Regions from separate parts of the Mus musculus genome. Here region 2 is reported to be linked to region 1. The links are microRNA targets in miRTarBase. Many come from high-throughput screens and were not tested one by one. Region 1 holds a microRNA gene; the other region holds the end of a gene's coding sequence.
Evidence for each region. Region 1 holds the annotated microRNA mmu-miR-770-3p (CGUGGGCCUGACGUGGAGCUGG, at 2,249-2,270, opposite strand). A microRNA usually pairs through its seed, bases 2 to 8, with sites in the 3' UTR of a target mRNA and lowers its output. Matches are read on the target gene's strand: a 7mer-m8 pairs with bases 2 to 8, a 7mer-A1 pairs with bases 2 to 7 and ends in A, and an 8mer does both.

Region 1 (3,399 bases):
ATGGGAAGACTAGAGCTAAGGGGATGTCTAGACAGAGCACTAAGAAGCCAGTTCCTCTAAGACATGGCCTCAGAGACTACACCCCAGAACAGGGGAGAGGCATATATGTAGTCTATCACTCAGGAGGACAAGGTGGAGGACTGCCACACCACAAGAGGTACAGAGCACAGGTCAGGGCTCACAAGCTAGAAATGCATGGTGAACCCAGACACAAGCCTAAAAGTGTTTTCTACCTGCTGGTGCAAGATATCAGCCTCCCTGTTTCCCAGGGTAAGTAAATTCTAATGCCGAGCTAGAAGTCAGCTGAGCCTCTCACATCATTCTGTAGATATCTGTGAAAGGCCATTGCCTAGTCTAAGGACACCCTCAACCAAGAGCCTGAAAGAGCCATGAGCCACTGGACTTGGACAAACAGTTCACAGAAGATAAGATACAATTTGTTAACAAACATGGGTGAAAAGTATTCAGCCTTCATTAGTAATTAGAACAAGTTTTACACACACAAAAGCATTTTTTAACAGAGAGGTGAGGAAAGTCAGCAGACACCTTAAATACTAATACATCAGCTTAAATGCTAATACATTATCAGACAAGATAAAATACTGTAGGCTTTCTTCAATCAACCAACAGCCATTCAAACATTACCCTTTCATCCAAGAAGCTCAACCAGAGAATATACCCATCCATTAATTCACTCACTCATTCATTCATTCATTCACTCATCCATTCATCTAGCCTCTCATCTGTCTGCCAATCTTTCAATCACTCCATCACTCATACCTGTCCACCCTTACACACACACACACGCACACGCACACATGCACACACGCACACACGCACACGTGCACACACGCACACACGCACACACACACACACACACACACACACATACACACACACACACACACACGCAGTCAACATTCATAGACATCCTACAAGAAATACAGAGCGCAGTTCCACAAGCTCCTTGCCCTGAGTGGGCTCACAGTCTAGCAGAAGGAAGCAAGGAGAAAAGAAAGGAACCATGGGAAGAGCTAGATGTAGGGGGCGCTAGGGATGCTGGGAAAGCTGGTTGTGCAAAGCCATTAGTTATGGTGTCATCGGTAATGTAAAATAAAAAAAAAAAACAGGACAGGAGATGATCATGCATCAGCAACAGTAAGATGGGTAGATCATTATGTCATAGCCATTCAATGGAACTCAAGCAGGTGAGAGAGACCATGGAGCAACGAAAACGTGGACAGCAAGATGCTCATTGCAACAGACACAAAACACCAACAGAAAAGTAAGCACCACCAATGGAGCTTTAAAAAAAAAAAAAAGGATGCTCATTAAATGGAAAAAAATTTAAAAAAAAAAACGGTGTTCATAAGAATTTGGAAGGCAGAAAGGAAGATGGAGCACGGGGAAGCAGAGTTGAGGGTGTGTTTCTTCCCCCTGCTCTGAGTTACACATCTTTACATTAACAACTTCACCTCAGAAAACACCAGGGCCTTTGGCCTACCTGCCCCAAAGGTGGGCTCAAATAGCGGGGGGAGCCGAGGAGAGCTGTAGGTCCCAGTATTATCAGAGAAAGGATGTTGTGGTTTGCATATGAGTGTCAATCAAAAGACAAAATTTGCCTTCTTTTATGATGTTGAAAGGAAAAGCAAATATGTCTAAGACAGCCCTGAGCAGGCAGAAGGGCTGGGACACCAACTTGGGAGCACATGCAGACCGCCCTCCCCACACGAATCCTAGGGAATCCTACCACAGACTCTCAGAACCCCAGAACTAGAGACATTTGTTATTCAAGATCAGATTAAGAGTCAAAGACTCAAAACAACTAGATCCCAAGGTGACATGGCAAAGTCACCTACCCAAGCCCTTGTTCCTTCCAAGGTCCCACTGACCCACAGTAACCCATGGTACCCCTTCCAATCTTCTGGCATGAATGTTGAGACAAGGCCCACCTAGAGACCCATCCCCATGCTGCCCCATGTCACTGACTTCACAGCTGTAGCCCACATGTAGTCCCAGCATTCTTCTCCGCATCCAACCCCACCTTGTCACCTTGGCTGACTCTCTAAACAGCTGGAAATGAACCCCATGCAAAGGCTGTTTTCTTCTGAGCATCTCCACCCGCCCCCTCATCTCACTCCGTCACTCAGACTTGTGTGGACAATCTTCCGGAGCCAGGTCAGCAGTTGTCCCAAGGATGATAAACGCCCCAGATTCTGAAACAGGAGGCCATCAGACCCCTGCGGCCCCAGCTCCACGTCAGGCCCACGTGGCGTTGCTCACGTGGCCCAGACACGTGGTGCTGGGGGCACAGAAGGTGGCTTCTGACAAGGTTAGGCTGTGTCTTCCACGATCGGAGGCGGCTGGCGTACACTAAAAACCTTGAAGCTAGAAGCGTAGGGAGCGCCCATCTTCCATCTTCAGTCATCTCAAAACGCTTCTTCCAGGGGCCCCTCCTCCTTGCTGGTGTCTCAGACCCTCAGCAACTCAGGTAGCAGCAGCCCCACCCTCCCCAACCTTCCATACCTTCTCTCTACTTAGCCTGCACTCAGCTCTCAAAGCCCCCTTGCGGTATAGCCCATCTGTCCACTCTGTTCTTGGGTCTGCACATGCTCCCTTGATCCAGCCAAGCTATTATCCTCCTGTTGGGCACTTGACATGAATCTGGTTTGGATTGGTTTGGTTTGGAATTTAGCACCCCCAATAGGAATTGAGAAATCAAGGAGGGCTGTGACTTTTTTTTTTTTTTTAATGGTCAAACACAAGCATACAACACACAACTCTACAAAATCTTATCCACAACAGAGAAAGAAAACTGGGCAAAAGCAAAGAGTCCCAGGGGGTGGGGGACACTAGAATAAACAACTCTCCAGGTCTCCCCCAGCAGCCCACAGAGGCCAATAAGAAGACAGATTCAATACACAGTACAAACTCCCATTTTACTGGTTACATACACAGGTTTAAACATTCTGGAAGATGGGCCTTGAAACGGGCTCCAGGGGTGGCATATCTGGGACCTAGGATCATGTGTGGGAGCCTAGGCAGGGGTCCACTCTCTGAGCTGAAGGGTAGGCTTGATCTCAGAGATACTTGCTTCACCCGGGCCTCTTGGGCCTCTAGGCTTCCAGGTCAAGCTCACTTTGTCTGCACCCTGGTGTAAGTCACACTCAAGATGGTAGCCAGCAGGCAGCAGACAAAGCCTCCTATCCCTGCCCTTTGGCTGGCTAAGCCCCTTCCCATCAGGATCAGAAGAGATCCTTTCCCAGAGAGGAGACAAGGTACCCACTGGGCATAGCGCCCCCTATTCATGCAATCATCTCCACAGCCCCAGGCCTGAGCCCTTCCCTCCTATCCACGTCTATGGAAAGGGCACTGTGCAGGGATGTGTCTATGGACTGA
Region 2 (3,399 bases), not on the chromosome of region 1:
TGCGCTCAAGGACTCAAACACAATACAAACAGCGCCACCAGTTCCCACCCCTGGGGGCCCCAGCTGAGCTGGGAGTCCCCTTGGCTTTTTTTTTTTTTTTTTTTCTTTTGTGGCTGTTTTCCTTTGTCCCTTCCCTGGCCTCTGGTGCTGGAGGGCAGGTGGAGGGGTGTGCTGGGGCAGGTGGAATTTGTATAGCAGTTACACAGAGAAGATGATCACAAGAAAAGCTACCTAAACAATGTAACAACTAAGTCTAGGGTGCCCACAAGATGTCAGATGACGCTCATAAAGGGGGTGGGGACACAGTGAAGAGACAGATTGGCTCTGGCGGTCCCTAGAGGCTCTGTGGGGTAGGGTGGACTGGCAGGTGGGCCTTGCTTTCAGGCCTCACTGACAACTTTGCTCTGGGTAGCACCTTCAGAGCCCTCCTGCCTTGACCCCCTAGGTCAGGTGATGGTGGCCTCACAACCTCCCCCATGAGGTAGGTGAAGTATTATTACCATCATTTTACAGATGGAGAAACTGAGGCCCAGGGAGTGTGGGTGACTTGCCCAAGATCCTAGGACAGTGGTGGCAGAGCTCTGGTGCCCTCCTCACCCTCAAGTCCCTCCCCCCCATTTCCATGTTCCCCCAGTTGCCCTAACATCTTATGCCCAGCCTCTGTGTCATCCAGCTGCACCCTGTGCAAACCCACTCTGTTCTCCACCCACTGTTTGCAAGGTCTGGCTGGCCCCCCCACCCCTCCACCCAGGCTGGGTCACTACTATTCCTAGTAGTCTGAGGGGAGAACAGCTATGTGGGGGGATGCTGAGCTGACTGGCTAAGAGGTGCAGGAGCACGCTCTGCATAAACCCGCTGCCAACTTTACACCTGCTGGTGCAGGTTGCTCGGGCCCCTCGGATGCCTTGGTGGAAGCACTCAGGAGACTGAGGCAGATGGAAGGAAGGATGGCAGCGATTTCTCTCGAGTTTCCAGACTTTCTACATTACCCTCTTCTGTTCCCACACAGCCTCTGCAGGGAGTTGGGAGGGTCCCTTTCCTGGGGTTACACCCAGCTGGGCAAGGGAGTTGGGGATGGTCCTATTTAAAGCAAAAGCTGTAGTATACAAACATTTAGATTTACAAGTAATATGGGTAACTATTTGTTTTACAATGGAATTATTCACTCTACGAATGATTCACCTACTACATAAGGGATTCCTCCAGGTCCCTGGGGACAGGGTGTGAAATCTGATTTAAGGACATTTTGCTATGGACAAAAGGAGATCTCCCACCTAGAGCAGAAGGGTGAGCTTAAGGGGAAGCCCACTGAAGGAAACTGTGCCCACATAACTGTGTTCCCACTGTGCTCTAGATAAGCAGATGCAGTCCAGAGCCCCTTCCATCCTTGGGGTGTCAAGGTGCCAGTCAGGGTAGAACTGTATTTATGGTCCCCAACTGCTACCATAGATGTGGTGTTCTGGTGCCACCTGGTGGTAGAATTAGGGTATGTTGGGCTCAAGTCTCTGAATTGGTTTTGAGGCTCTTTCACCAGCTGGGTCTTTTCAATACAGCACAGAGGGACGACAGGACTTAAGAGGGATCATTCTGGAGTCTGCTATTTCCAAAGGGAAGCCAGTTCTAGTCTCAGCAGAGGCGGGGAGAAGGGACGACAGCTTCTTTGGGTATGGCAACTTCAGACTCCTGGAATGCTCCCCGCTTCCTCTGCTTGCGTGGTGGGTGGGAGGGGCAGAAAGAGCTGCTACTCTGGGGTGGGGGTAGGGGTGGGGGTGGGGTATGTGTCAAGACAGCCTGGAGAAGGCCAGGGGTTGATCAGATTATGCAAAGAAAAGGTGGAGGTGTCGGGGCAAGGGGTGGGGATCGGGGGCTATATCCAAGCCAGAGTGTGGAGCAGATGCCAATTTGACTGCAAAATGAGATTTGGAAAGGTGGGGGTCCCTGGGCGAGGGGTTAGGAATGCCTGAGAAGGATGGGAGTGGTGCCCTGTTGGAAGGCCATGCACACGGTGAGTAGGTGCCTACAAAGTGTGAGCCCAGGCCCAAGGGACGACATTGCAGTAGAGAGTTGCTACTGGGGAATTGTGGGGGTGGGGGCTACAGAGACAGGCAAAGTGGGTGCCAGGAGGCAGCTGAAACAGCCATTTGCCCTGGTCCCCACTTCTTCTCAGCCGTCCATACCCTTCCTCTCCTACCTTCCCTGTGGCCTTGACCTCTACCTGACCCAGCCCTACTTCATCCTCACGAAACTCTGCTATTTTCCATAGCCAATCAGCACTGCTGGTCCCAGGGCGATAGGGAGTGAGCTCCCCCTTTCCCACACGTGCGCATGAGCTTCCAGGTGCACATGTGTACACGCATGTGGGCACACACACACACACACACACACACACACACACACAGTAGACACAACACAAATACACAGGGCCACATCTCCAGGACTCTGGAGCACAGGCTATATACTATCCTCAGTGTCCAGGGCCCAGCCGGCACCTGAAGCTGGGGATGGGCCTGATGACCAGGCCGTGGCCAAACGCCTCGGCCTTCCTCTTCTGGGCCCCAAAAAGGGGATCTAGGGAAGGGGTGGCTTCTCTCCACTCCAGGCACTGCCTTAAAGAAAACGGGGGCTATGCCCACCTGGCGGGCCTCTGGAGGGATCTGCCCATCTGGCTCTTGAGCTCTCCCCCACGTCTTTAGTATCAGCAAATCAGGAAAGAAAGAGGCAAAGCAGGGAATGGCTCCCAAGCCCCCACCCCTGAGCTGGACTCATGGGGTGGGGCTGGTACTTCCTAGAAATGGGGCCCAGTAGAGTTCTGGTACCCCTCCCTGGCTGAGCCCTCGGGGTCTCCCCTCACCATGGCAGGGGTGCCGGGCTGGGCATTGTGCATAAAGTGGTAGGGGCATGATGGGGAGCCAGGCCTTGGCCCTTGGAGCCTCCCTTGGCCCCACTCAGGCTTTCAGCTGGTGCCACTGGGCCACAGGCTGCCGGGGACGAGCGATCATGTCCTTCCAGTGTTTCACTTCACCTGGTCCGCTCTTCCAGGACAGGTAGATCTGGGGAGGAAGAGAAGATGCGTAATGGCAGGCTCTGAGGCTTGGGCCCTGTCCCATAGTAACAGCCTGGCCCACAGAGGCTGCCCCTTTCCCTTCCTGCCAGCCTGACCTAGTTTCCTGACTGCTATCCCTCAAGGGCCTGGGCATGCCTGGCCCTTTGACATCAAACTGTTACCTATTTTGCAGTGAAGGTCAGGATACAGGCATTTGGCTGGGGCAATCTTCCCTGACCTAGGAAGGGACACCATTGTTATTGTCTCTCCCATCTCCCTGCATTTCCTGGCCCCGCCCCTGACTTTGTACTGGGGGCTATATATCTCGAGGTCAGTGTGTGCTTCCAAACCTGGCA

Region 2: the mRNA of Syt7 is a reported target of mmu-miR-770-3p. Seed matches in the 3' UTR shown: 7mer-A1 at 2,357-2,363 and 7mer-m8 at 368-374.

What each region holds. Positions count from the first base shown.
Region 1 is chr12:109,562,615-109,566,013 of GRCm38, reverse strand. Mir770 (microRNA 770) reads right to left here and starts at 2,322; the gene lies at 2,229-2,322. All of the region lies in intron 9 of Meg3 (maternally expressed 3), which reads right to left. It also overlaps a transcript of Rtl1 not described here.
Region 2 is chr19:10,447,991-10,451,389 of GRCm38, reverse strand. It overlaps Syt7 (synaptotagmin VII), which reads right to left. Exons shown (of 12, transcript NM_001373944.1): 12 at 1-3,050. The coding sequence ends at 2,946. Among named protein-coding and RNA genes, the nearest start is that of Lrrc10b, 7.8 kb to the left of the region's middle.